Lonchura striata: one gene and its partners. Each later gene encodes a partner of the first gene's protein in a complex. Links are inferred from orthologs where the notes say so. Each region holds a gene or a part of one and is shown in the gene's direction. Other genes may lie near its edges. The genes, in order: ARPC2, ARPC1B and ARPC3.

The links.
Region 2: ARPC2 (region 1) and ARPC1B share a complex: the UniProt entries of both Homo sapiens proteins name them as parts of the arp2/3 complex. The link is inferred for Lonchura striata from reciprocal best matches to the Homo sapiens genes ARPC2 and ARPC1B.
Region 3: ARPC2 (region 1) and ARPC3 share a complex: the UniProt entries of both Homo sapiens proteins name them as parts of the arp2/3 complex. The link is inferred for Lonchura striata from reciprocal best matches to the Homo sapiens genes ARPC2 and ARPC3.

What each region holds. Positions count from the first base shown.
Region 1 is NC_134610.1:15,527,617-15,537,387, forward strand, and holds the start of ARPC2 (actin-related protein 2/3 complex subunit 2), read left to right. Parts: upstream 1-5,320; 5' UTR 5,321-5,440; coding exon 5,441-5,514; intron 5,515-9,771. Other genes in the region: C-X-C chemokine receptor type 2, read right to left, coding at 866-1,942. UniProt on the Homo sapiens protein: Actin-binding component of the Arp2/3 complex, a multiprotein complex that mediates actin polymerization upon stimulation by nucleation-promoting factor (NPF).
Region 2 is NC_134618.1:14,898,215-14,908,036, forward strand, and holds the start of ARPC1B (actin-related protein 2/3 complex subunit 1B), read left to right. Parts: upstream 1-5,984; 5' UTR 5,985-6,106; intron 6,107-7,805; exon of another isoform or gene 7,806-7,842; intron 7,843-8,452; 5' UTR 8,453-8,462; coding exon 8,463-8,526; intron 8,527-9,204; coding exon 9,205-9,309; intron 9,310-9,822. Other genes in the region: ARPC1A (actin-related protein 2/3 complex subunit 1A), read left to right, coding at 1-15, 1,198-1,273, 1,452-1,645, 2,547-2,637, 3,724-3,762. UniProt on the Homo sapiens protein: Component of the Arp2/3 complex, a multiprotein complex that mediates actin polymerization upon stimulation by nucleation-promoting factor (NPF).
Region 3 is NC_134620.1:12,738,177-12,748,172, reverse strand, and holds the start of ARPC3 (actin-related protein 2/3 complex subunit 3), read left to right. Parts: upstream 1-6,334; 5' UTR 6,335-6,439; coding exon 6,440-6,445; intron 6,446-7,230; exon of another isoform or gene 7,231-7,316; intron 7,317-7,468; coding exon 7,469-7,568; intron 7,569-8,528; coding exon 8,529-8,605; intron 8,606-8,869; coding exon 8,870-8,938; intron 8,939-9,208; coding exon 9,209-9,335; intron 9,336-9,647; coding exon 9,648-9,742; intron 9,743-9,996. Other genes in the region: DENR (density-regulated protein), read right to left, coding at 413-527, 2,496-2,516; GPN3 (GPN-loop GTPase 3), read left to right, coding at 1,788-1,835, 1,912-2,020, 2,643-2,810, 3,227-3,351, 4,005-4,120, 4,408-4,504, 4,864-4,992, 5,383-5,445. UniProt on the Homo sapiens protein: Component of the Arp2/3 complex, a multiprotein complex that mediates actin polymerization upon stimulation by nucleation-promoting factor (NPF).

The sequences.
Region 1 (9,771 bases):
ACAGAGTGGCAGGAGAGTACTCAGCAGGGTCACAGTCCCTTCTTCAGCTCCTCAACCCCAGTCAAGTGTCAGCCCCAATTGCCCAAGCCAGAGCGGAAACATCCCGGTTGTGTAAGGGACAGGTTCCCAGCCCTTTGCACAACAATGTTCTGACACCATGGCTGGGAGGAGTGGGGATGCCGGTACCCTTCAGGCAGGGGTCACAGGGCTGGTTTAGTGTGAGGGGCTCCTCAGAGATCTTTCAGTGATTTGCTCTGCTGGGGTTGAGACTGGGGTTGGGAAGGGAATGACTTTGTCCTCAGGTGGGATAGACTCCACATAGAGACCATGGAAATGCCAGGACCTGTCTGGGGAACTGTAGGAAGCAAAACTTGGCCTTGGGTCCCCTGTGGGGATGCACAGAATGTCACACCCTGTCCTGGAAGAAGAGTTACCCACACTCTGACAGGCTCAGCAGGCAGCACTGTTTTGGCACTGTCCCCAGAGAGGTGCCCTGGCCCTGTCCTGCTGTGTCCCGTCCGTGGCAAAGAGGAGCCAGACATGGGTGACCAACCGACCAACTCCTTTATTGCTCGATGGTCATTGGGTAAATACACCATCTTCACAGCAGGCTCACAGAATCCACAGGGTCACAGGCTTTGTCCCAAAGAGGGGGGAGGGTGGACACTTGACATCACTCCCCTGGCAATGGGGTCCTACCACCGTGCTACCCAAGCCCCCTTCTAATTGGGGTCCAACATCCAGTGGTGGCCCTGCCCATCCCTATGGCATGACCACCCACATGCCAGGGGACTGGATGATGATGCTGAGGTGTGTGGGGTGCTGGGACCTGCTGGTACCCACAAAGGCTGGGTCCCAGAAGGGCTCAGAGGGTGGTGGATGTATTGCCAGAGGTGGAGGCATAGGAGGCACGGCCATAGCGGGCAACAGCATCCTTGCTGATCAGCCCACGCTGCGCCAGGATCTTGAGGAAGCTGTTGCGAAACTTTTGACCGATGAAGGCGTAGATGATAGGGTTGATGCAGCTGTGGGCAAAGCCCAGGACCTGCGTGACAGAGAGGGTTGTGTCGATGCGGTTCCTCCTCTCACAGGTCTCAGCAATGGCCCGCGTCCTCATGAGGGTGTCGCTCACTAGGGTGATGTTGTAGGGCAGCCAGCAGATGAGGAAGACCAGCACCACAGCAAAGATGACCTTCATGGCCCGCTGCTTCTGAGCATTTTTGGTCTGCAGGAGGGTATGGATGGTGACACCATAACAGAAGAGCATCACCAGGAGGGGCAAGGCAAAGCCGAATGTCTGCGGCAGGATCCGCAGCACTACCCGCCACTTGGCCGTGTCCTCGCCACTGATGCGCTCATAGCACACGGTGCCATTGTTGGGAGAGCGGAAAGCCTCACGGAAGAGCAGCACGGGCAGGGAGAGCAGTATGGAGAAGACCCAGATGCCCAAGCAGACAAACTTCACCCAGTGCCTCTTCTCAGTGGCAGCCCGTGTGGCATAGACAATGGCCAGGTAGCGGTCCACACTAATGCAGGCCAGCAGAAGGATGCCGCTGTAGAAGTTGGCTTCCTGCAGCACAGAGATGGCTTTGCACATCACAGTGCCAAAGACCCACTCGTGGGCTCGGTAGGCTGCCCAAAGCGGCAGGGTCAAAGCAAAGAGCAGGTCTGCCACGGCCAGGTTGAGCAGGTAGACGTCGGTGACGGAGCGGCTGGTGTGGGTGGAGGTCACCACCAGCACCACCAGCCCATTCCCCACCACACTGAGGATGAAGACGAGGCAGTAGATCACCACCACCAGGTACTTGTTGAGGGCAGAGTTTTCAGGCCGGCACGGAGAGGATGAGATAGCAGTGTCAGGCATGGCTGTGCTGTAGTCATAGGTGTAGTTGTAAAAGAAGAAGAGGTTGGAGAAATCTCCACTGTAGGACAAGGGCTCCATTTTGCCTGTGGAGCACAAAATGGCATGAGCATGGGGTGGTAGTGCTGTGGACCAGGGGTGACAGTATCTCTGGATCCTCTGGCATTTCTGTTGGCCCCCAGGTACTCTCCCAGCCAGTGGGCAGCTGTCCTTCATCACTGTGATGGAGGACACAGCATTCCACACTGTGCCAGGTAATGGTCAGTATGCAGGTAGACACTGTTCCTCATATACCCCCTTGTAAAACACCCCCTGCATGCCTCATTCTCCTGCATTTCACCCCAGTCCTGTCCATTTCCTGACTCTTGTGGAAGAAAAGGTTCCCCCATAGACTGATCACCTCTTCAGAGTTTGGGGGCTTCTCCATCAATGTAGCATCACATCCCTCCAGGAGACATCTGGCTCCTCCAGAAACCCTGGGCTATCCTGCTTCCTTCAAAAGCCTCTAAGCTCTTTGGGCATGTCAGAGCCCCTCACACACCTCCAAAGTTCTTCAAGTATCCCTGTATCCCTCCAGCCTCTCCACCCCCTCAAGCATTGCTGCTGTGATGCCTGGAACGGAGCTGCCCCTCCTGCCATGTCAGCCAGCAGCAAGGCTGTGGTCATGGTGGCTGGGGCAGGCAGCACTCAAGAAGGTCTGAAGGTGTTTTTGTGTCCTTCTTTCACCTCCTGGTCTTGCTCCTGCGGGAGTGGTTTCACACCCCAGGCGGAAAGACATGTCACACTTTGCAGGCAGCTTTGGAAATGTTACATCTCTGGTTTTCCTGTTGCTCAGCTGGGCACTGCTGTGTACCCCCGTGCTTGGCCAAAATGGGGAAATCACAGGTGGCAGTTGCTTTTCCTGTCTCCTCACACATAGGAGACGGTGAGCTTGCTCTGGTCCTGCCTCCCCAAAGACCACAGGCTTTCAGTCTTCTCCCAGAATGGATCTGGACTCTTGTTCCACTCCAGTTTCACCCCTTGGTCCCATTTCTGAGCCCGCAACCCCTCCAGGGCTTGGAGATGCCAGGACTGCTTGGGGTGCTGCTACCCACCTCCAAACTGGCCCTGTTTGAACACAAACCATTCCTAGAACCAACTTTTCCCTTTGCCTGATTTGAATCCCCTGCCGCAGCTGGGCTGGTGCCACTCTCTCCCTGGCTCTGCTGTATCCTCTCTTGCAGTGATCCAGGGATGGAAATCCTGGGATGGTGACCCCAGGGTGGTGATGCTGGGATATGGAAACATCAGCATCCCGGAGAAATGCAACCAGGCATGCTGCCAGTGCTGATGGGGGAATGTCCTCCCAAGTGGAGCTCCCCAGGCATGGGGCAGAGCCTGATGCAAGTGCTTCCCCTCCATCTATTTCTGGCTGCTGCTTTCTGCTTCCCCACTCCAAAATTCTGGTGGTTCCTCTGGAAATGGGTATTCCCCAGGTATAACACACACAGATAGATCCCCACAGCTGGCCCAGATGAGGGGAACAAGCAGCACTCCATTTCCCCTCCTGACCCTGGCAGGGCTGGGGCACAATGTGGGGGGCCTGGGGCTCCCAGTGGGGACATGCCATGGGGAAGGATCCTCCTAGCTCATCGCTGTGCAAGGAAATGGGAGCAGGTATTTTTCCCAATGGCACCCAAGGCTGATGTCCCTGGGGACTATGGAGGGATTGCACCCCAGATGATCCCACAGCACAGCCTTGGTTGCTCTCACCCACCATCTCCCTCTACCAAGCAGCCTCTTGGGCAGCTGGACCAACCCACCCCAGCTCCCAGGCTGCTCCACATGTGAAGGGGCTCAGATGAGTGATGTGGGGCTGTCAAAGCCCAAGGAAAGCCACAATCTCCAGTGGTGCACCCCATGGACTCACTGCTTGCTGCTGTTGCCGTCCCCTCAAATGTGGAGTCTTCTCTTGATCCCAAGCTGTTTCTCACTGGGAAGCACACAAGTATGAGTTTAAATCCAGATGTCACCCCAAAAGGGCTCAAAGTGTGGTGGGATGCAGGGCAGCACCAGACCCAGGGGTCTCACCAGCCAGAGGATCCTCACCTGTGCCTGCTGCTGTGCCGCCTCCCAGTACCCCTTTCCTCCGCCACCCACTTTATACTGCCCGGGGAGGAAATGTTGCAAAATCTTCTCCCAGAATGAAGAGGAAGTGGCAGCCAAAGGGACCCTTCTGTGGTCCTCACAGATGCCTTTCCCAGTCCAAGGGAAGCCCGCAGACCCCTGTCAGCCTCCTGTCCCAAGATGTCCCAGGCCACGCTGCACTGGGGGTGCACCCAGGGGGTCATTGTCATTCCTGTGATGATGCACCCCGGGGGTCACCAGCTGGGGGTCTCCAATTTGTCCCCAGGTCTCCAGTGGATGAGGGGATCCCCTTCAAGGCACCCCTGTGTGCTGCGGTCCCCCCAGGAGAGCAGAGCTCTCTGAGGCCATGGTCAGTGGGTGATGGCAATGCAGGGCTCTGTGCCTCAGTTTCCCCATTGATAGAGCGGTAGGTGGTGTCAGCATTTAGGGGATGCACACGGGGACTGCAAGACTGGCTTGCCCTCCATTGGGGGTTGCTGTGGGGGACCCCCCCAGAGTAGAGTCCTATGTCCCTCCTGCCCTGGCTGTGCCTTGCCAAGCTAAGCCAAGTCAAGCCATGCCATCAATGCCATCAGACAGAGCCGTGCCGCTGTGCCAGACTGTGCCAGCCCTGCAGACTTAGCGAATGCTGTGGCTCCGAGTATCCCTTCTGCTTTTAGGGGAGAACTACACACAAGAGCATTCCCCATGCACCTCCATTACTCTGGGGCACTCACAAACCCCTTGAGCACCGCCATCCTCACAGCTTTCCATGCTTGTCAGCCATAGGGCTACCTCACGTTTTTGGGGCACCTGGTAAGTGCCATCATCATATCCCTTCATCATATCCCTTGGGCATCACCACAGACTCAAGGACACTCCTATTCTCTGTGGGAACACCTCCTCAGTTTTGGGCAACCCCAAGATCCAGGGCACCATTTACAGCCCCCCTAGGATACTCCCACTCCCTGTGCCACCTCACATTTTTGGGGCCCTGTAGCTCTGAAATTATATATTTTACAAGATACCATTTTCCCCTGTAAGACCCCCATACACTGGGGCACACCTACTACTTCCTCGAGCGTCCCTATGATCCTAAGGGCATTCCACTGTTCCGGGGACCTCCAGCACTGTGAGTATTCAATTAACGGGGTGTGGAGGGGGGGACCCTCACATTGCGGGGGGTTTCCAGAGCGCAGGCTCAGCCCCACGCCCGGCCTCACACGGCTGGCGGCGGTGCCGGTGCCCGTGCCCGAGCAGCCTCCCCATCGCCTCGCCCCGCCCTCAAGGGCCGCCCCCATTGCCCGCCCGCCGCGCGTGACGTCATCGCGGGTGGGCGCGGCGAGGGCGGGGCGGCGGCGCCGGGCCGGAAGTGACGCGCGGGCGCGAGAGCGGAAGCGGCGGCGCAGGCTCGGGCGGGTCCCCGGTGCGCGCAGCGGGCTCGGCTCCCTCAGAGCCGCTCCCGGCACCGACATGATCCTGCTCGAGGTCAACAACCGCATCATCGAGGAGACCCTCACGCTCAAGTTCGAGGGCGCGGCCGCCGGGTAGGAGCAGGGGAGCCGGGGCGGGGCGGGGACGGGTCCGCGGAGAGAGGGAGGGGCGAGGGGGCGGTGGCTGGCGGGGCCCGGGCCGTGCCGGGCACCCGGGCACGGAGCAGAGCCCGGCGGGTGGTGCCGGGACAGGATGGGGCTGAGCGGGGCGGAAGGTGACAAGGCAGGATGCGGGGCTGGGGAGCGGCACTGAGCCCGCGGGCAGTGTGCTACCGGGGGGCGGCCCGGGAACGAGGAGGGCAGAGCGGGCACGGGGTGGGAGCCTGCGGGATGCAGAGGCTGGGAGGGGGGTGGTCAGTGTGCGGGAGCTGAGCTGCGGGACGGATAGAGCTTGGGCAGAGGGAAAGCTGGGGAATGAGGGAGCAGAGTGGGACAGGGCAGTGTCGGAGGGGAGAGTGGAGCTGGATGGGGTCGCTAGTGCCAGAGCAATGGGGAGCCCCGGGGGAGCAGGACGGGTCTGGGAAGGGTGCCGGAGATTGCCGTGCTGAGGTGGACTGGAGGACAGGGGTGGAGAAGGAGGAAGTTGGAAAGGGAGGAAGGTGGATTTGCAGGGTAAAGTGGCCTTCATCAGCGTGCTGCCAGCGCTGGTACAGAATGTGTAGGGGGAGGCGACGAACAGGAAGCCTGTGTATGGAGTCATGGCCTCAGCCTTTTGCTTTGGGGTGAAGAGCAAATTTCAGTTTGCTCCCTCTTAGCTTTTTTGAGCAGAAGGGATAGAGGCGCACAGGTCAGCCATGGCTGCTGGTGCCAGCCTGGTGGGTGTCCTGGCCTTGGGGAGCAGCCTGGGGGTCTTGTTCACACCCACATCTCCAGCTGGAACATCTCAGTCCATGGGGAGCCCGTGTTTTTTTTTACTGTGAGTGTTGCACCAGGGCTGTAAAGATGCTTGTGAGGACACAGCTTAGCTTGGAAGGAAGTCCCTTAAGAATGAATGTCCTTATCTGCAACCGAGTGGCCTGTGGGCTGGATGCACTTGCTGCCTGCTGCCTGAGACACCTTTGTACACAGACAAAACCTTGAGAGGCAGAGCACAGTGGTGTTATCTCTGGGGTGGAGCCTGCCCTGGCACCTCACAAGGCAGGGCTCAGGCTGCTCCAGGAAAGGACCCTCCCGGGCAGGTGCCTTTTTCTGTGTTACTTTTTCTCCAGCAATTTTTGAAGCTCTCATCCTTTTATGTGCAGAACGTTGTCAGAGGCCACTTAGTTTGCTTTCCTTCCACTCTCAGTTGACTTGCTGATCAGATTTGTGTTTTGTTTTGGTGGGGCTTTTTTTTTCCATAAAATAATTATGCAGGCTGCTCTGCCTTGGAGGACTGCTGAGCTTCTCCCAGATTTTGATTTGTCTTGAGCCCTGATCATTTAATGCAACAAGTTTCCCCAGAGTACAGGCACAGCACTGGGCAGAGAGAGCTCCCAGATGACCTCTGTGGTATTGCAGCCACATCCATTAGAAAATATGGCATGCACAGAGGTTCACAGTGAGTGTCAGAACCGCGTGTCAATCACTAGTCTGTGCCAAGCCACTCTTCCTGATGCAGAGAGAAGAACGTGTGTGTGTCCCTGTGTTGATCTGACGTGGAGGGGCAGCTTGCAGGTCTAGATGCACCCCAAAACTCTGACTCTCTGAGCAGAGCTGCACTTGCTTGCCCTGCAGCAGCCTGCAGGCCCCTGACATTTCCATTTTGCTGCATGGCAAAGCCACCTCACTGGTGTGTGGGCACGTGTGCCTGACATACTGACTGTTCCCGAATCAATTAGTAGGGTGGCTGATGGTGTTCTCCTTCTGCCTTTTAGTCATCTATGGCATATTCTGTTCTTTAGATGGCGTTTCTAGATAAGTTTTGTGCCTTAAGTGTGTTGCTGATGGTGAGGAAGACATTTACTTCTGAATTTTCTTCATGCTTGTTCTGGGCTCCCCCATCCAGGCACGTGCAGGAACGTTTCTCCTGCTTTCAGGTCTTCTAAGGAATAGATGTTACAAAACATTTATTCAAGTGATATTTCTTTTTCCTATGGCCACAGCTCTGGGGTTATTCCTGTGGTGCTCAGCCTGGAGGTAGGAAGGGATTGCCTGTATTTTGCTATTTTGATGATGATTTTCCAAGGTGTATCTTGGGGCTGAACACAGGACAGTCAGGGCAAGGTCAAACCTTGAAGAATTTGGTGACTGGGAGGAGTGAATCTGGACACTGGGGCAGAGCTGGGTTTACATTATTTGCTCTAAACCAGAAGTGCAGCAGATGCAATGCAGGATTTGTCAATAGTGGTTGTCTCAGAGCCAGGTGTGCCTTGTAGCTTCAGCACCAGCCTGAAAATGGGGCAGGGCAGGGTTCTTTTCCAGATCCTTTGCCAGATACTTGTCCTGTGACATGGGCTGTGTCGCTCCCTTCTACTGCAGTGCAGCCATAGTTTGACAGGTTCCTGCAGAGCTTTCCTGGGCTATCAGGTGGGAGACACTCCACATTTCACCTTGTCATACAGAACAAGGTCACATTTAGAAGATGGAATTCATTAACTGCTATTATTGTCATATATGTCAAGATCTGTTCTGCATAGAGGTCCATCAACTGTCCCTGGATTTCCCAGTGTGAAAGGTACCTCAGCAGGACTGCAGACAGAGATCAGCACTTGAGACAGGGCCTAACCCACCTCTAAGAGTACTCCCTGAACAAGGTCCTTGGGGCTTGGCAGCATCCACCTGTAAATAGGGTAATTTCAAATTTAATTTGGTTTTGTGGACAGTCCCCATGTGTTGCTATTGGACACGAAATGAGTACACAAAAGTTTGTTAAGTTTAAAAGAGAAAAAGAGTTAATTTTATTTCTGACTTCGCAATATATAGAATTCCAAAAGTGACAGTGGGATTGGAGGATGAAATTGTCACCCTTCCAACCACACTGGTCAAACTAACAGTCTATCAATTCTCTCTTCCCACAAAGAAATATGTAAACTATTCTGTTTATACATGAAATTGTGTGGGAACTCTGACTCTCAAATATGTAAACATTATCAGAAGGCTAAATAAGTTTTATGAGAACTTTAAAACTTTCAAAAGAGCTAAAAAATCAGGGCAAGACCCATGGAAATCTCACCTCCTTGGACAGCCACTGTTGAAACATGATGTTTAGATCAAGGTGGTAACAGATGATGGACTTCAATGCATCTGATTTTTTTTTTCCTTACTTAGTCCTAGTAATTTATGTGTTTAAATATATTCTCTTAAACCAACCACATTTTAAAATAAAAGCCTAAAGTTACCAGAATCTGTTGAAATAACTTGAGTTAGGAATGTGCTGCTGCAATGTGAAATATCTGGTCAGTACCTGGAAATAAGTTTATTTAAATGAGGTTGGCTTATGAGCTTTTTTACATGTCAAGAGAAAGCTTCCATAAGGTTTTGACTAGTTCATTTGTACATGAGATGTTGCCTGGAAGCTGGTGTCACACGTGGGTTTTCCCATTTATGATAGAATTGTGTGTGAGGAGATAAACTCTACCAGTTGGAAAATCCTGTTTCTCATCATTGCTTTCCTTTGCTAATCACACAGGCATTAAAAAAAAACCCACAAACACTTCAAGTGTAAAACATTTTAATGATTGTCTTCTGCGTCTGATGAATAATCATTCTGTTTGACACTAACAGATTTGACATCCAGTTTTGTCCTGCTTTAATTTAACTGACCCTAGGGAAAGTGTGGCACAGGGCTTTGGTCTTAGGGTTTGGTTTTCCAGTCACATATAGCTTACTCAAAATCTTTAGTAAATTAATAATCTGTCTCAAACTGTTACTTATTATTTACCCACTGTGCAAAAGAACACAAATTTGCATAGCTCGAGTACAGCGTGCCTTTTCCTAGGCTGGGGGCGGAGGGAAGAGAATCTCAAATGAAATTGGTTTCTTTACAGCCATTAGTAGGTACAGCTCTGCAGGGCTCCCTGACCATTAGCTGCATAGGAAATTCACCGAAGCTTGGATTGCCCTGGTGCAGAGTGGTTCCTGTGAGCCGGCAGGAGCTGGGCTGAAGCCGCGTCCGCGGGCTTGATGGTATTTCCCACCTGCGGTCACTTGATGCTTGTGTGCTGCTGAGCCTTTCAGACACAGAGGCTGAACCCTGGCTGAAGCTAGGCAGGGAGGACTTTGTGTTCATGGTGTGACTTGAAGTGAGTTCATCATGGGGAGACAGGAGTGTGTGGAGGCTGTTGATGTGCTGGGAGGGTAGAGGAGCTTTGAATCCTGCCAGGCACTACTGAG
Region 2 (9,822 bases), on another chromosome or scaffold:
CTCCAAAAACATGATGTGAGTATCCCCTTGCTGGTATTGTCAGCCTGATGGTGACCCTAAAGGTTTTTTCCAGCTTTAATGATTCCGTGGTTCTGTGTGGAATATTGGGTTCACAACCTTGTGCCTCTGTTGCCTGTTTTATTGTAGGTTCCAGGAGTCTCTTTGAGGCTTATATAACTATAAGTAAGATTTGTTTCTGTAAATTTTAGAGTATATAACTTAAATTCTTTGTAAGAATTCTTCAGTGAGTGTATAGCAAATTTTTTTGCCAGGGAAAAAAGAGGCATTTAGGGAAAAAGGTATGTTCCACTGAGTAACCAGGGAAACAGTATTTCCTTTTTCAAAACAATATTTGCAATACAAATATTCCAAGCAATATTCCAGACAATATTCCCAATTCAAAGAGAATCCAGAAACATGCTCACTGCATCACTAAGACTGCATCTCTAACCAGAATCTGGAAAATAAGTTCATGAAATATTAATTTCAACATCTCTCCTTAAGATGCTGCTGATGCAAGGTTTCAACTTACACCTCCCAGTCCAACAAAATATTTTATTAACAATTGCTCCTCCTGCTGCTCTTCTCGATCTGCATAACTTTGCAGTGTCCTTGGCTTTCCAGCCAGGAAGGATGAGATTCTCCATATGTTTTGGTAGCAGAAGTCTCTGGGGGTCATCCAGACATTGCTGGGATTAATTTTGAATTGTGGTTCTGATCAGTACGGTTGTATAAGTACCTGGCAGGGAATATCATTAATTATAAAGTATTTTAGAATTCCCTTTATTTGTTATTAAATCACAAAAGTTGACTTAAATGAACATCAAGGCTTTTTCCTTCTGCAAAGATGTCAAGCATCAACATTTCAAGTATTTTTTATATTCAAATGAAATTAGTATCTTCCTCGAAACACACGTTTTTGGGGGTATTCCTTTTGAATTCTTGCCCCTGTTTACGCATAATTTTGGTAATGTTAGCCTTTCACCTGAAATACTTGGCTTTGTTATAAATCTTCCAGCACACTTTCATTAGGCTGAAACTTTTTATTACAAATTACAACCTTCTGTTGTCACCACAGGACAGGCGAGCTACCTTGACTTTTCCAACAATCCTTGTGTAGGAAGGGTGCCTATTTTTTGTTGAAGCCTAAAATGAGAAGTTTCATTGAATCCCTCTAACAAATGTCCTTGTGCTCAGGGTTTCGCAGCTGAAAACAGAGTTCCTCCCACTCCTGAGCGTGTCCTTTGTCTCCGAGAACAGCGTGGTGGCAGCTGTAAGTGTCTGCTATTCCTCCTCGCGGAGCTGTCGTGTTTTGGAGGGGGAGAAAACCCCATATATTGCACAGTTAGTAATAATACTAAACAAGCTGTGCCCTGCTGTCAGTGTTTTCCTGTTGGAAGGGCAGGGTGGGAATGCTGAGGTGGTGTTTCCTGACGGGTGTTTGCTTGCAGGGCCACGACTGCTGCCCGATGCTCTTCAACTGTGACGACCGTGGCTTGCTGAGCTTCGTTTCCAAACTCGACATTCCCAAACAGAGCATCCAGCGCAACATCTCTGCCATGGAGCGCTTCCGCAACATGGATAAAAGAGCCACCACGGAAGACCGCAACACCACCCTGGAGACGCTGCACCAAAACAGTATAACGTGAGTGTCCTGCTGCCAGCAGCAGGGCAGGGGATGTTCTCTGTGCCCATCGCCCAGGGTGTTCTGCAAACCTTTAGGTTTGCTGTACCAGAAGGGTGTAGCTGGTACCTCTTTCCCTAGCAGCTCTCAGTTTCTGGGATTTACGTGGCTGCTGGTTAATCATTGACGTGGCTACAGCTGTTTGCTCGTGGTTGATGTGTTGTGTACCTTGGACACAGCTTATCAAATATGTTGGTAGTTCCCAAGAGGCTGATGGCACTGTGCAAAATGCAGTCAGTAAAATCCACCTGAAATTCACATCCCGGCTTCCTTTTTCAGATGTTACTGCCATGTGTATTATTTATTTATTATTTATCACTGCTTTCAAACTGAAAGAAGGGAAATTTAGGTTAAACATACAGAAAAATCCTTCTCTGTGAGGGTGGGGAGGCCCTTGGCACAGGCTGCCCAGAGAAGCTGTGGCTGTCCCATCCATGGAAGCTTTTGAGGCCAGGTTGGAGAAACCTGGGACAGTGGAAAGTGTCCCTGCCCACAGTAGGGAGTGGGACTGGATGAGTTTTAAGGTCCCTTCCACCCCAGACCATTCAACAATTCTGTTAATCAAAAAGATTCATTCAGGTTAATTGGGTAAAATATCTTTGCATTAAAAAAATTATGTGATCTGCAGGGATGTGGAGCAATTTCTCTTTATTCAAGGAAAACGTTTTGTCTCACCAAGCCATTAAAGAGCTTTCAGCATCTTTTTCTTGGCTTATTTTTCTGAGGCATTCTACCAAGAATCTGGTATAGGCTCTGGTATAGTCATGTCTCCAGCCAAAGAGTAGGAGTGGAATTCAACCCAAATTTCCCAGATTTCTGGCTCTCTGGAATGGGTGTTGGAGCTCTCACTCTGTGTTTGCAGCCAAGTGTCTATTTATGAGATTGACAAACGGGATTGTCGGAAATTCTGCACCACCGGCATCGATGGAGCAATGACCATCTGGGATTTTAAGGTAAAAATGTGCTTTTACTACCATGTTTATGTGAACTAGCTGGGGTGGTGGATTTTTTTTTTTTAATCTCTAGTATCAACTCCTGGGGCTCAGCCTCAAGCCAGGTTTTAGTAGCAGCAGGAAATCCAGACTGGAATATTCAAAACCATTAGTGAAATCCATAAGAAAAACTGATCCAAGAATCTGCAGAAATGCAGATGCAGTTTGTTAAGCAGATGGTGCTAATACAGACTTATTTTTTTAATAGAATTACTTAATGTCCCTGTAGGAATCCCCTTAATTCTTTCATTTTCCAGCCTCAGCCACAACTGAGCTGGAGCAATTTGTACAACACAGCCCCCTGCCTCTCCCTTCTCCCATCCCATGGGACTCTGCTCATTGTCCTGCTGCAGAACATGGTCCTGTCCTCTCAGAACTGACTTACCCAAGGAGTAAGAAGTTGTCTCTAACAGCTGGAAAATGCAATATTGAAAATCCTTAAAGGATGTATTAATGCCCATGCTTGCTTTACTCAGGCCTGGCCAACAGAGGTCCCTGTTGGCCTTCCCAGATCTGGGATGTGGGATGTGATTTAGGGAAAGAACAGATTGTGTTCTATGGTGCCAGGATGCTCTGGTGGGGACAGGAGTCATACAAGAAGTTGAAGTGATCTCTAGGCTGCTTTAGTGCAGTTTTGGGTCTGTGTCGCTGGTACCTGCCTGAGTTTGAAAGGAACAACTGTTGTGGTCTCTGGCCTCTTGCATTAGGAAGAAATCCTTTACTTAAAGGAGAAATTCTTCCCTGTGAGAGTGGTGAGGCCCTGGCACAGGTTACCCAGAGAAACTGTGGCTGCCCCTGGATCCCTGGAAGTATCCAAGACAAGGCTGGACAGGGCTTGGAGCAACCTGGGAATGTGGAAGGCGTCCCTGCCATGGCAGGGGCTTGAATGAGATGAGCTTTGATCCCAAACCATTCTCGGATTCTATGACTGAATCTAATTTCAAATATTCATGTTTTTTGCTTGTTTTTTTTAGCATTTACACTGAATTAATTTAGCCCAAGCTACAACAGCAGATTGTAATTAAGATTTTTTTTCTCTCCTTCAAGACTTTAGAGTCCTCCATCCAAGGGCTACGAATCATGTAAAGATGGATTTCCATGATCTAGCAGGACAAACTGCTTGACAGAATGCAGCTCCCACATCTGCACAAACCTGAAAAGGGAGGAGGAAGGTGAAATATTTGGAAACACTGAGAAAATACAGCTTGGCAGTTTTTCTTTTGAATCTAAATTTGGTGAATTGTGTTGGTTTCAAAATCAGCTGTGATTGTTCTTTTTTTTTTTTTTTTTTTTTGGTTGGTTGTTTCATTCCATTCTTTACCAAAGCTGCTCCTTAAGTAGTTTATTGCAGGAAGTTATGAATCACTAACTTAAAAGGGGAATTTTATGTAAATTGTCTGCTAGAAATAATAATAATAAAAAAGAGAAAAACTGATTCTTTGTTTTGAAGTTTGTTGATTAAAAAAGGGATGTTAAGGGAATTGGGAGAGAGACAGAGTGGGGAAAACCCTGCACTGATATTTTATGGCCTTAAAGCAGAAGTTCATCTGAACTGAAAGGTTCTAAAGTTGACAGACCTGGAGTTCTGGTGATCTGGATGTGAAGATTCAGATGAGCTTCTTCCAGGAGAATTCTTCCCTTGAGGTGACAATTTTGGAGAATGAATGATTTTATCCTACTTCTCTTCATTCTCTCTGCCTTGCATTTAATCCATAGCAACAGCAAATTAATCTGAATGTCTTTTTTGTTGTCTGCTTAGCGAGTGACATTTTTCCAAAGGTGAGTGACCAGAATTATCTGTGGTTGCCTTTGGGATTGGTCTCCAGCCTGCTCCCAGGGCAGTGCCTGTGGGACAATATGGAAAGCTCTGTGTGGAAAGTGAGACAAATATCTGCTGAGCCTCGTCTGGGGAAGACAAATTAAAAGCAAATCTCTTGGTAAGTCTGTGAAACTTCAAGGCTGGGGAATCACCATCCCTGGAGGTGTTCAAGGAATGACTGGATGTAGCACTCGATGCTCTGAGCTGGTTGGCAAGGTGGAGATTGGTCACAGGTTGGACTTACTGAACTTGGAAGTTTTTCCTACCCTCAGTGGTTCTGGGATTCTGTGACCTGTTAGAGCTGAGCTCTCAACCCATAAAATCCTGTATTTATGACAACTAGTGGGCAAATGAAGCTGCAACCAGAGGTGTTGGTGTGGTCTGGCTTCTGTGCTGATCCTTTGTCCCCAGGTACCTTTTGCAGTTCAGCTTGGAGCCTCAGGAGCTCACGGAGGCATTTGGACACAGCTTTATTCACAGGGTGTATTCCTCCCGGTGCTGCTGCCTTGCTGTGCTCTGAGGGGATTAGCTGGCTCATGGCATTGCTTTACAAAGCTTAAAACTGTCAATTCTGCCGAAAATGCAGAAGTGTCTTTAAAAAACCCCAATGACTAAATTTACCACTTCCTCTGGAACCAAAGTTGCTTCATACCCTGCTCGTTTCTCAGCTCTGTTGCTGTGCAAGGTCAGCTCTGAGTGGCAGCCACTGTTCTCCATCACAGAACTGGATCCTTCTCTGGTTTCCTTATGTCTCCCACCTTCTCCCCTGGCAGTCGGGCTTGGCTTTACAATTTCCTCTCCCTTCTAAACATAAAATAGCAAGTGTTTCATTTCTTGCAGTCAGAGAACCTGGGGCGTAGCAGAGGGAAAGGGGATGAGTGAGTGCATCCCTATGCCCAGGAGGGAAGGCCTGAGTGCATCCAGGCGGGAATGGGATAAAAACTAGCTGCTCTGAAGCAGGAGGTGATAAAACCAGAGGGCTGGATGTCTGCTGCGTGGGGACACAGGCATGGTGACCGCGGCCAGCCTGGCACTGGGTCCCACTGGGCTCTGTGAGATGCAGGAACCAGCAGCAGCTGCTGCCGAGGGCGGCCAGATCGGGCTCCGCGGGCTCCTGCGGATCTCCCCGGCCGTGGGAGGCGATGCCGACCAGCGTCTCTCCCCGGGTGGGCTCCAAGCTCGGCTGCTCCCCGGTGGGGGCCAGCGCAAGCATCGGGGAGTCCCCATCCCTCGGGGGTGAACAACACCCGCTGGCACAGGGAGACGGCGGGGACCCTTCCCTTCTGTTCTCCTGGCTGTGTCCTTCCCTGGAGCACCCGGGCGAGCTGCCCACGTCGCACCGGGAGCATCGCGGGGCCGGGGCGCGTCCCGGTGCGGCGGTGCCGAGCGGCCCGGCCCGCAGGCACAGGGGCTGGGCGGCTCGGCGCTCCCCCAACGCCCACGTAAGGAAGTGGTTGCATTTCTCGGAGAGGAAAAGGGAAGTCGGGCTGCCTCGGCGGGGCAGGCACAGCTCCCGCCGCTCGCTCCGGGCTCCGTTCGTGTCGACTGCCCAGAGTCCATGAACGAGCCCCGCCGGCCAGGAACGGAGCCCAGCCCGCCCTGCCCGGCAAGGTAAGGACGGGCTCTGCCGCCGCTGTCCCGTGGGGCTGTGGCTGTCACCGCTCCTGGCGCTCACAGCCCGCCCGAGGGTTCGGGGGGTCCCCCCGGGCTGGGGTCAGGGGGTGCAGGCAGCCCCTTGCCCCCTGCGAGTTTCGCTGTCGCCGCGTTTTGGGTGTTTTGGGCTTTTCTCCCAGCTTTGTCAGCAAGTTTCAGGGTTGTTTTTTTTGGGTTGGGTTTTTTTTTTTTTTTTTTTTTTTTTTTTTTTTTTTTTTTTTTTTTTTTTTTCTCTTGCCGGAGGTCTGACAGCTCTGAGGGGGTGGAAAGAGTCGTCCTGTGGGGGTCCCCTCGGGGTTGGTGCCGGCAGAGACTGAGCTGCCGCAATCTGTCCTCCCCTCCTCGGCATCAGCTGCTTCCCGCTTTGCCCGTGCGAGGAAGAGGAGGGTCAGAGCCGCCCTCCGCCTGCCCTGGCTCGGGGTGTCCCCTCAGGCCAGGCTGGCTCCCGGGGCACCAGCACGGGGCTCTGGGGATGGGAGTCCCCAGCCTGGCTGGCAGGAGCCGGGCGGTGACACCTTCGGCTGCCGCAGGGAGCAGAGCGGCTCCCGGGGGTCGGTGTTGGGGTCTTGGTGGTGCAGGGCTCCACCACAGCGTCCGGGGAGAGTTTCAGGGGGTCCCAGCTCCCAGCGGGATCCTCACTGGGTGCGAACCCTCCTCCCACCACCCCGCCAGGCTCGTAAAAACCCAAACCCCAGCTCCTCCGGTGTGCGGCTTCCTCCCGGGACTGGGAGGAGCCCCCGGCAGTCTCTCGGCTCTGCCAAGGTTTGGTTATCTCCTCCCAGGATGTTTCCGAGCTGCTTGGACTGGCCGGGGAGATAACGGAGCTGTTCCAGCTCCCAGTCCCGCCCTGTCTGGCCTTCGGAAAATTCCCATTTTCCTCCCTCAAGAGCCCCTGGGTTGGGGAGGGGGGTGGGAGAGGGATGTAACCACAGCTCCTGGATGCTCTTCCCGGCTGGGGAAGAGGCTGCCGAGCCCCCGAGGGTCACTGCAGGGCGGGGGCAGGACTCAGCCATGGGGAACCCATGGGGAACTGGCTCTAAGGGGCCGTGGGGGAAACAAAACACCACCCACTGCTCCTTTTGTGTCTGGCAAAAACTTCCGTCCTGGCACGGCGGCTGAGCTCGTCCCTTCGGGGTGGCACTCAGAAGGGAGCAGCAGGGACCCCAGGGAGGAGAGTTTATGCCTCTGAGCTCCCAAACCACCTGGAAAAAGAAAAAGCATTGCTGTTTTCTTCGTGTCGAAGCCAGAACGCACCTCGGTCCTGCCTCCCATCCCTCCTGTAGGGAGCCCTTTGAGCCATTTCGGCCAAATCCCTTTTTCCTCTCCTGATCTCCTGCAATGTCGCTGATGGTTTTGTCCGTCCCTCGTGGTGCTGCTCCATCCGCAGGGCTCGGGGGCGAGGCCCGTGGTGGCAGCAGCTTTGTGCCCTCCTTGGGACACCCCGGGCTGCATCCCAGGGGGATCGGCAGCTGCCTCCTCATCCCTGCCCACGTCCTTGGCCAGGGGCTGTGTGACAGCACTGGAATTTCTCCACATGCAGAAGGCAGCTGATGGAGCTCTGCAGATTTTCGTTTCCCCAGCCCAGGGATGGAGCTTTGCTAAGAGGGACTTTTTTCCTTTCCCCTGTAACGTTTTTAGTTGCCAAAGAAAACGGGACGTGTTCAAGGAGTTCCCAAAATAGCCGAGAGCAGGCTGTGAGTAATTCCCGTCATCAGCCGCGCCCTGGCGAGGTGTTTCCCTACATCCCTGCGCTCCCCGGGCCGGATGGCCGAGGGGCTGTGACGCTGCTCCCAGCCCTTCCCGCTGCCGTGGCACTTGGAGGGGTTTTTTTGGCAAACTGCTCCATCCCATGGCAGCTGGGGACCGGCAGGAATGGTGGGAGCTCAGCCAGGAGAAGGGATCGGTCCTGAGGGCTGAGCACTGATGGGATGGAAGGGCCTCCATGGGGCTTTGGCTCTTCCTAAATGAGAGGTGTGGAAGGAGGGGGTGGATCTGGCCCTGTTGGGGTGGGGAGAGGAGGTGCTGCCCCTGGTGAGACCCCAGGGGTGCACAGGGGGCTGCTGGCACCAGGGTCCCTGTGTGCCCAGCCAGCTCCTGCCCAGCAAGTTCCAGCCAGTTTGGTTTAGAAAATCCTGGAAATGGACAGTTTCTGAGCTTGGAAATCCTCAGGAGAACCCTCTCCCCGGCGGAGGAGAGACATGGTGGGCTGCAGCACAGGACTGATGCCAGTGGGAAGGATCATTCTGTGGGGCTGGGGTCTTGTCCCTGTGTCCTGACATTCTGGGGGTCTCTCCCTGTCCCCAGCCCGTGAGCCATGGCCTACCACAGCTTCCTGCTGGAGCCCATCAGCTGCCATGCCTGGAACAAGGACCGCACCCGTGAGTACGCCCGGGGCACCCCGCAATTCCCGAGGACATCCCCGGGCACTGTCCTGGCTCAACACCCCCGAGGCGGGCGATGCTCCGGGGCGGGGCAGAGCTGGCTTGGGGCTGGATTTGGGAAGCAAATCTGGCAGATTTGGGGGCTGGGACAGCACATCCCCCTGTGTCCCCCCGGTGCCGGGACAGAGCCTGGCACAGCGTCCAGCCCCGAGGCACCGGCAGGGGAGGGAGGGAGGGAGCGGGGCCGGGTGATTCAGGGGCGATGGCATTTCCCGAGCGCGGCCCGGGGGATGCGGAGAACAAAAAGGGCTTTCTCTGCTGCGGCCCGAGCGCCGGGCAGGCAGGATGGGGCTGGGTTTGGGAGCTGTGCACCCCCAGCCGTCCTGTTCCATCCCATCCTAGCCCATCCTGTCCTGTCTCATCCCACCAGCCCCATGGGACCACACCCTAGGGAAGGGATGGCTCTGGGCTGTGGGGTTCTCCCTTCCCCCAGGGACAATTTGCAGCATTAGGGCAGTGCAGGACCAGGGCTGGGGGGCTGTGGGACTCCCCCAGGCAGCTGGGGCTCAGTGGGGACCTGGAGCCCAGGAAGGGGTGGGTGGGTGGGTGCTGGTTGGCCCTGCAGAGCTGGGTGACCCAGGGGAGGGCTTTGCCCTGGCCACTGTCACCCCCCAGAGATCGCCCTGTGCCCCAACAACCACGAAGTTCACATCTACCGCAAGGATGGGGCCAAGTGGAGCAAAGTGCACGAGCTGAAGGAGCACAACGGGCAGGTGACAGGTGAGCCACAGCTGGCAGAGGGGACAGGGACACGGATGGTGGCTGGGCTGTCCCAGAGCTGTGGGACATGTCCCAGAGTGGATGGGGGTCGTGTGGGGGTGGAGGAGAGTGGAGCAGGTTGTGTCCACCTGAAGGCAGCCAGGGGTGGGATGATGGGATAGGAGAGATGGAGAGGGATGAGGTGGAGGAAAGGAGGGAGAGAGGGATGGGAAGGGATGGGGACAGATGGGAGAAATGGGGTGAGATGGATTGGGATGATGTGGGATGGATGGAAAGGGAAGGGATGGGGTAGAGTGGAATGAGGGATGGGGTGGGATGGGGTGGGGTGGAATGAGATGCATGGATGAGAGAGATGGGGTGGGATGGGTTGACATGGAATGCTTTGAGGTGAGAGGGATGGTGTGGAGCAAAGAGGAACTGTGGATCAGAGACCACCCAGAACAACCACGCCTTCAGACACCCCCCAGCCCTGAGTGCCACCACTCCCATTCCTGAGGCTCCCTGGGCCACCAT
Region 3 (9,996 bases), on another chromosome or scaffold:
GCTACAGAACAAAACACCACTTCTACCTGAGGCAAAAGAGACACTGAACAAAGCACCAGGTGGTTTGGTCAGCTTTCCTTTCTCTGAGAGCTGCCAATGTCCCAGAGAGGGGACAGCCAAACCAACTGTGCTGATTTTCACACACAACAGGGCTGTTTCCTACTGTATTCCAGCCTGAAGCAAAATGACATCCCTATCTAAAAACACACCTGTCAAGACAATTTACTTCCCTTCAAATTTCACCCACGTAACTACAAACAGAACATGCAAAGAATACTTTTAAACACAGTATGGCAGTTTAATGCATTCCATTTTTTCTATCACACTAATGCCCAGAGGCCTTTTCTGTGCTTCCTGCAGGCAGAGATGTGTGCTCCCACTCCTGCCCAGGCAGGAAGCTCCCAGGACTTGCCTCCACAGTAGAGCACCCGCAGTGGGTAATCGGCGTCGGACCTGGCACCGCTCCTGCCGTCCCCTCGGCAGTCAGGGACCACGGGCTCGGCCACCTCCGTGGCCATGTCACAGGCCTGCGGGTCACAGGGCCACAGCATCAGCACCCAGGCTCTGGGGCTGCGTCAGTCACAGCCCTCCCAGCTCAAAGAGTGCCACAGGAAACAGGGGAAGTGTCAAAAGAGAGTGAGAGATCAGGGCGAGGAAAATGGGAGCCAAACATATGAAAACATGGGGAAACTGCTTCAAAGGATGCCAAGCAGTACTGGAATTCTAGCATGTAAGGGGAAAGCAGCCAAAGCGCCACGAAATGAAGAAAAATCTTTCAGAAACCCACATGGAATTACAGAACACACTGGGTTAAGGACAAGTATCATGTTAAATCAGTGCACACGAGCAGTGGGGACACTGGAGGCAGGCACCTCTTGCATATTAGCAAAGGAAAGGGGTCATTTAAATCAGTGCCTGAAGAGTCACTATCTGATCCAAGAACACTGGGAAAAAAAACAACAGAGGGTAAAAAAAGGAAAGCAAACTCAAGGCACTAATGGATTTAATAGTGGTCTACACACACGTTTTCAAGCAAGGGACTTAGAAGACAGGAGTCAACAAGGAAAGAATTTGGAACACATAAGAAATCCCGCAGAGGATGGGAACGCAGGGGGTACGTGTGACGGAGCTCAGGATGTGGTGCGAGCTGTGCTGAGCAGTGGGGAACGCGGAGGGAACTCCAGAGGCGGTGGGTCAGGGCAGGGGACAGGCACAGGGGCACAGCGCGGCTGGGGGAGCCGGGCGAACACCCCAGAGGGGCGCGGGGCTATGCCGGGCGTCACGGGGAAAAGCGAGGGCGGCCCGGGGGAAGGGAGCCGGGACACCGGGCACGGCCGGGGGGATTCGCGGGGGCAGAGCTGAGGGGATGGGGGGCAGCCGGGGGATGCGGGTCGGGTACCTGAGGAGGGACGGGCTGGCGGCGCGGGGCGGTGCCGGCGCTGACGGAACGGAGGGCGCCGGGAGGATGCTCGGTACAAGCACCGGGGGGATCCCCGCCAGGGGCGGAGCGGGAGCGGGCGCGTGTGGGAGCCGGCAGGCGGGGGCTGCGCGGGGGGGCCCGGGGGCGGTGTCGGTGTTACCGGAGGCCCCTCGGGCCGCGGCGGGTCCCGGTCCCGGTCCCTCACCGCGCGCGCACGTGCGCCCGCCCCAGCGCCGCCGTCTCGCGAGAGGGGCGGGCACGGTTTGACCCCGCCGGCTCGCCGTACGGCGGCGGGCGGGGCCGTGCCGCGGAGCCGGCCGGGCTACGGGCCGCCGCAGCGGCCATTCCCCGCCGGGCCGCCGCAGCCATGCCCCGGTACGCGCAGCTGGTGATGGGCCCGGCGGGCAGCGGGAAGGTGAGCGGGGAATAGCGGGGAAGGGCGGGCGGAGGGAGCTCCCTGCCGGCTCCTGACGGCCGCGTGTGCCTTGCAGAGCACGTACTGCTCCACCATGGTGCAGCACTGCGAGGCGCTGGGCCGCGCCGTGCAGGTGGTGAACCTGGACCCGGCGGCCGAGCTCTTCAGCTACCCCGTCATGGCAGGTGAGCGGCGGCCCCGGGCACGGCTGGGCTCCGGCTGCCCCGAGAGCGTGCGACCGGACCCGTTCTGTCCTCCAAAACGGAGCCCGTGCAGCGCCGGGGGAAGATGTTGGAAAATCGTTTTAATAAAGTAACGTGTGATCCGTAAATTAAGGAATAATTCTGGTCTGCTGGCAAATAATGCTCAGTGCCTATGTCAGAGGTTGATGCACTCTCAATCCCTGTATTTACCTACACCAGTGATTGATAGGTACTGGCAGATGCCTCAGTTTCAAGAAAAACAGCAGTGTTTGTATCTGAACAAAGATGATAAAAGCACACCCTGACCTGCCCACATAGATGAGATACTTTCAGGAGGAGATATTCATTAGACCATAAGAGGAAAATCTTGGGGAATGAGATGTTTCCTAGACAATCACCAGGAACCCTCAAAAGACCCTCCCCAATAAATCCCGGGAAGTATTTAGCTTATATTTACCTGTTTAACTTTCCTGAACATAACGTGTTGTGTTTGGTGCTGGCTGTGCCTGTGCCAGGGAGATCCCCCTGCACCCAGCACTGCTGTGAAGTTTCCTCAGCTGCCAGAGTTCATTCCCTGCCTTTGGGGCCGTTTGTGTTGTCGCAGACATCCGCGAGCTGATAGAGGTGGACGATGTCATGGAAGATGAGTCCTTGAGGTTTGGCCCCAATGGTGGCTTGGTGTTTTGCATGGAATACTTTGCCAATAACTTCAGCTGGCTGGAGGAGAGCCTCGGGCACGTGGAGGATGACTATGTTTTGTTTGATTGCCCAGGTAAAGCCACACCAATGTTTTGGCATCACTCTTCATAAGCGTTGGAAAATTCGCAAATTGGAAAATGTGGTTGTGGAGGTTGTGATAATTCCCATTTTGTTCAGCTATTATCAGTTGTCAGAGTCACTTTCAGGTGTCTCAGGAGTGAACTTGGTCCTGGGCTGATCTGGGTGACTGCGCAGCTATTTGGTAGCATCATGAGCTGTGGCAACTGCAAACTAACACTAACTGGGGACCAAAGGAGGAAAAAACCTCCTTTTATTTCTTTTCTATTTCACTCAAACACAGGCTTCCTCAAAAGAAGGTGCTTTCCTTACTAGTTTTTATTTAAGTGCAGTTCCCATGTCTAAATATAACTGTGTACTGTTCTTGTTTGCTTCACATTCCTACCTGTTAACATCCTGAGTGTGCTCCAGGTCAGATTGAACTCTACACACACCTGCCAGTGATGAAACAGTTGGTGGAGCAGCTGCAGCAGTGGGAATTCCGTGTCTGTGGAGTTTTCCTTGTGGATTCTCAGTTCATGGTGGAATCTTTCAAGGTATCCATTTGAAATCTGTTGATAAAGTTCATTTTAATAAAGAACAAGAAGTCTTAGCCATTCAGGGAGCTGGGTTTGCCCAGAGGGAAAATTGCCAGGTGCAGGGAGATGTGGTTGCTGTCATCAGCTGCCTCAGACACAGCCTGCAGCAAGGACAATCCCAGGTGGATGTAAAGCAGCACTGGGAGAGTGAACAGACTGGGACAGGCACAGAGGGATTGTGCAGTGAATGTTCACAGAGTCAAAACTTGACTGGGCAAACCCCAGAGCAGCCTGCTCTGACCTGGAAGTGCTTCTGTTTGAGCAGTTGTAGGAGCCAGATAACCTCCAGAAGTCCCTTCCAACCTAAATTCTTCTGTGATTCCATGAGAGCTTTCTCAGATCCCAAGAACAAGCAGGCCACCATCCCCATTTAGCAGTAACTATTCCAAGAAGGGTTTTGGTTTTCTTAATGTCCTTTTCAGTGGCAGATCCATATTTGAGGCTCCAAAAATTTTTCCACTTCCTCTTTTCAACAGAGAGAATGATTCCTCATATGGCTTTGTGTCCATGTTCCATATATTCATTACCAGATTTGGCCTGTGGTTGAGTGTCCTGCATGTTTGTGTTCTGTTTTTGTGTACTTTAATACATCATTTTTCATCCTCTTCAAGTTTATTTCTGGAATCCTGGCAGCCCTCAGTGCAATGATATCTTTGGAGATTCCACAGATTAACGTCATGACCAAAATGGATTTGCTGAGCAAGAAAGCCAAGAAGGAAATAGAAAAGTGAGTTCCAAAAAATTATTTACTCTGTGGTACAATATACTGAAACAAAGTTCACTTGAGTCATGTTTCCCACAATTAAAACCTACTCATTTGGAATGGGAGAAGATGGATTTTGTTTCAAACAATAATCTCTAAACATTGGGTAGGATGCTTAATTTAGTCAGAGTCAGAAAAATAGCTCCATGTTTGTACTGATCTCTGGCTATTTCTGTAAATAATTATCTTGGATCTTTTGTGTCACTTTGAATGACAGACTTTCAATGTTGATGATGACTTTGTTTCTCCAGGTACTTGGATCCAGATATGTATTCTATGATTGAAGATTCTACAAATATATTGAAAAGCAAAAGGTTTAAAAAACTGACCAAATCTATATGTGGATTGGTAGGTACATTGCTTTTGAGCTAGTGCCCTAAAATTCACTATCACTTTTTGCTTAACTAATATTTTTTTGTTTTTTCAGATTAGCATGAGATTCTTGATACTACTGATAAGATACTCTTGATATCTGGATTATAGCCAATACATTTTCTTTGAATTCTTTTCTGTCGGCAATTTTGGGAATTTGCTGCTGCATAGAATTTAGGATTGGTAGCCAGGTGTTCTGAGTGGGGAACTGGGAATTGCCATTGGTTTGCAGTGTGAGTTTAAATGCTATTTTAGAAGTCCAGAAAAGAGTGGTTTAAGGAAGAGGCTTTGAGTGCTGTGATTGAGAATGAACTTTCTGCATTTCCCTTCTGTAGATTGATGATTATGGCATGGTTCGATTCCTGCCTTTGGATCGCTCTGATGAGGAAAGCATAAACATCATTCTGCAGCACATAGACTTCACCATTCAGTATGGAGAAGATCTGGAATTTAAAGAACCAAAGGTAAGGGACTGTTGCTGAGAAGATGAAAAATTAGAAAGTATCCATAAGAGAAGTTGTGATATAAGTATGTTCTTTGCTTTGCTAATAAATTATTCTCTTTGTACGGTTCAAAATAAGCTGTGTTTAGTCTTTCAGTGGTAATGCTTGTATCATCTTCATTTAGTTATAGAAATGAAATTCTTTAATATAATCTTGCATATGCAGGTTGATCAAGTGGTTGTTTAAAAGTATTGGTTTGGTTTTCAAAATTAACAGAGTTTTAACCTTCAAATACCAGAAAGGACCACTGAGATCACCAAGATTTTTTCCTGCATGACTGTTCAAAGTCCCCTAATGATTCCTGTGTTCAGACCAGGAAGGTTTATGTTTTTCTGGGGTTTTTTTTGACAGGAATGTGAAGAAGATAAATCTGCTCTTGTGGATGAATACTTTCAAGATCATGTGGATGAGTAAGAAACATGTTCAAACTCTGAGGAAAATACTTTGTTTTTGATAAAAAATAAAAATAAAATAAAAACCCCCCAACCCCTACACAAACACGCCTGATGTTTTATCTGTAAAATAACTAATATTTATAATGGAGAGTGAGTTATATGACCTCGTAACTACTTTAATAAACAATTTTTTTTACTATGCTTGGGTGTGTTATAAAATACATAGGCCAGTGTTAGTACATATAAACAAGCAGAACCAGAAACGGGCAAGAGGTTCAACAGACCAGCAAATCCTCAAAATATATTGAGGAAAAAGACTCAGAAAAATCTGTATGTGGCAGGTCTTGATCTGACTGAATTAAACCATTCAAAAGCTGGGGAAACCACCGTGGTTTAATTCACCTCCAGACTGCCACTGGGACGAGCCACGCTTAGGGCATGTTGAAAGGATAAACCCCAGCCTTGCAGTTGAATTATTGTGACTCACCTTCCAAACCTCCCCACTTTGTCTCCCTGACTCATGCCGGGAGTCAGATACCAGGGAACAATTTCAGCAACGCTGGATATCAGGGAAGCAATTGATAGCAATTTGAGTGTGCACCCTAAAATAGTGTGTCCCTCTGAACACAGCGCGTTTGGACCCGTTTTGTGTTTCCTTGCACGAAGTGCCGTGCTGGAAACACCCAGGGGAGAAAACCAGCGGCCAGCGAAGCATCCCGGGACCCCTTCCCCGAGCGGGCGGTGCCCCTCCCGGGACCGGCAGTGCCCTGGGACAGCAGTGCCTCTCCGTGGCCGCTCCCCGTACGGGCAGTGCCGGGGCACGGCGCTGCCTCCCGGGATCCCTTCCCGGTGCGCTGCCTCCGGGGCGGTGCGCGGCTCCTCCTCGCACCGCCTCTGCCGCTGCCTCATTTCCTGCAGCGTAGCGGAGGAGGAAGCTCTGTGCCCGCTGTCCTGCCCGGCTCGCCCCGCTCCCCTCCCGCCCGGCCCCGCCGAGCCGCCTGCTGCCCTTCGAGATGCCGGTGAGCGGCTCCGCGCCCGGCGCCGCGCGGCCCCGGCGGCGGCAGCGCGGGCGGGAGGGCGCGGGGCGGCGGGGCCGGGGGCGGCGATCCCGGCCGGGGAACGGGCTCTGCTCGCTGCGGGGTCCGGCCGGGGCACTGCGGGGGAACGAGGGGCTGCAGCTGCGGGGAGCGCTGCTGAGAGCGGGGATGGCTCTTCATGGGAGGCTGCTGCAAGGCAGCGCCTTCCTCTTCCTCTTCCTCCTCCTCCTCCCCCTGCCAGGGATCCACCCGCAGCCGGGAGGGTGCGAGCCCCGGCAGCAGCGGGGGAGAGGGCGGTCACAGCAGGGCTTTGCCCCGGCTTTGCTCACGCCACCTCTCAGTGAAATAAACTGCTTTTTATACATCCAGCCTCTCCCAGTCACATCCTCCTCTGCCCCCCCACAGAGGGTGGGTTGTGAGATGAGGGATTCCCAGTGGCTTGCACAGCACCTTGGAAAGTGCCTAGAACTAAACTCCTTAGTTGTTTAAAATCGGTTTTTCAGGGAGAATTTGTTGTATGCGGAAAGCTGGTTTGTTTGTCACTTAAATCACTTTTGTTGCTTTTGTTGATTTTTTTTTTTACTGCACTGAGCCTGCTTTTATTTATAATTATCTACTATTAATAGCCAGTCGTGGAATTAAATTACCTATTTTTTAATGACCAACTAACTTTCAGTGCAATGCCCCAAAACTCAGGCAGGTGAGCAGGGCTGTTACCCCTTGGTGCAGCCAGGATGGGGTAACAGGATGAGGCAGCCTGGGGATGAACTGTGCCTGCAGACCAACAACACAGATTTTATCCCATCTCCTGGTGCTTTCCTGGTCTTCACCAGAATGGCACTAAGATCTGGACCTAAAGAGAAAATAGCAATTGCTTGTGCAAGGAAAAAATGATGGAAGCATCATAATGAACTAGGCTGTGACTCCTGTTTGATGAAGACATGTGAATGGATATGGAAATGTCCATTTTCAGTAGGATCAATAACCAGCTCTCCCTGTCTCTAGGCTTACCACTCCACTTTAATGGACTCAGACACCAAGCTGATTGGGAACATGGCACTGTTACCCATCAGAAGCCAGTTCAAGGGCCCAGCACCTCGAGAAAGTAAGATTATAATAATCTCTGAATTACTGGATGTAGCTCATCACCTCAGGGGTTGCTCTAAGACAACCCCATTAAGAGTGATGAGAAGAATCACTGGTGGGAAATAGAAAGATTCGCAGTTTAGAGAGGAGGAAAGTTTTCAACTACTTCAGTTGTGCAAATTGTAGAAAATAATTATGCACAGATAATTGTGCTCCGTGTTGTGCTGAGTTAGGGGTTTCAGTAATCCAAGCCTCTGGCTGCTGTTCTGGTGCCTCCCCCTGTGCTCCTGAGCAGGGTTTTGAGGAGGCTGTGGTGGTGTGAAGCCTCTGTGTCAGAGGAAGTGGTTCAGCTGCAGAGAACTCGTGCTCTGGGCTGCTCTGAGGGACAGCAGCACTTACGGGTGTGGGGCTTCAAAAACTGCAGTGAAGTTCCAGGCACCCCGAGAGGGCCCACAGGCACACGTTCCCTTTCAACACCTGAACTTCCCAGGTGTGGTATTCCCCAGAAATGTGGGATTCAGTTTGGAAAGGGAAATGGAAAGGAAACGTTTCTGGATTTAAGCAGTCTTGGATGGTAACAAAGGTCAGATTGTCACTGTGTTCTGCCCCCCTCCTTTATTTGAAGAGGATAATGGAATCCGAGTGATGTGCTTTCTCCAAAAACTTTTTTTCTATCCTTTTATGATGTTAAAACTGTGATGAGTTACTCAAAAGTGGTAGAAAAGTGAGGAACTGCTGAATTGCTGCTATTTGTGAAGTGACATATCAGAGGGGAAGGAGAAAGGAGTAGGAAGCTTAAATATTACAGTCTGAACTCATGGTGTTTCAGAAGTTTTCTGTTACGTGGTGCTGACTTCTGCTTTTTGTAAATACCATGGTTTTGTTCTTGCAGTAATCCTTATTTATATATTTCAATGAGTAAAAGTTATGACAAATGTAGTGTAACAGAGCACTCCTTAACTCTATCTCTTCTTTATAGCTAAGGACACAGATATTATAGATGAAGCCATCTACTACTTCAAAGCTAATGTTTTCTTCAAAAATTATGAAATTAAGGTAATTTTTTGAGATACTGAGTATATTCTAGTTCTTTGGAGGGTTGGTTCTGTGAATATAAATTTATTTTCAAGGAAGTAATTTTAAGAAGATCACAAAAACTCCCCTTCCACTTAATCTTTAAAGTTGGGTAAATGTCATGAATTGCAAATCTCTCTCTCATGGGGAAACTATAGCCCAAAATGGCTTGAATTAATTCCTGTTTCAGACTTTATCAGTTCCACAAAGTGCTGTCATCTAAGAGTTCCTGCTCTTGTTTTGCAGAATGAAGCTGACAGAACACTGATCTATGTGACCCTCTACATTTCTGAGTGCCTGAAAAAGCTGCAAAAGGTAAGAAAACTGAATTCCTGTGCAGGTGGGAAACAGTCTGTTCTGAGAATTGTTCTAAGGAAAGGATTTCCTGATATTCTCCTTCCAGGGGAACAGATAATCCTGTTCACCCCAGTCCCAGTTGTCAGAGCCTCCAATACCTCAAGGCTGTGGATGTGCTGTGTTGCTCTTGATGAGTATTCATATTCCAGATTTGTAAAATATTTGGGTCTAATGCTGTGTCAGTTTTTGTTCATAACTGCTAACCCATTGTTTGCCTGGTTCTTCCAGTGCAACTCCAAAGGCCAGGGAGAGAAGGAAATGTACACACTAGGAATCACTAACTTCCCAATCCCAGGGGAGCCTGGCTTTCCACTGAACGCCATTTATGCCAAACCTGCCAACAAGCAGGAGGAAGGTAAGGCTGACCCAGGGCCTCTGAGGGTCACACTTGATTAACTGCACTTTTATGACTGCAGTTAGTTACTTTAAACCTAAATCTTCTAAATCTGCAGTCTGTCTTCTGAAGGCAGCACAAGCTGGATTTTCTGACCTTGAGGATTCCCCTGGTTCTATAGATAAATCGAGCTAATCAACTCAGCCAGCTGGGAGTGCCTGCAGATGTGAAACTCCCTCTCTGCTTTAAGCAGCGATGTCTGATGTGTCCCTGTTAAATCCAGTTTGGGTTGGTGCTGCCCAGTTTAGCTTGGTTTTGCTGTGCTGCTTTCAGAGGTGATGAGGGCCTACCTGCAGCAGCTGAGGCAAGAAACCGGCCTTCGCCTTTGTGACAAAGTGTTTGATCCTCAGAGCGACAAGCCAAGCAAGGTGAGACCTCAGTGGCATCAGCACGGAGTTAGTGAGAGCTTGGGGGAGTTTGTTCAGCTACGTGAGAAGTGAGACAAGGGGGTGAGAAACTTCAGCCAAGCCTGTCTGATTCTGCAGTGAAATGGCAGCTGCAAGTTATCAATAAGTTTAATCTAATGTGATATGACAGTGAATGCCACTTTGGGTTGCTTTCAAAAGCAGGGCAGTAATAAGAGGTGTCTGGTTCAGCTCTTCAAAGCACTGCACATCTGCTC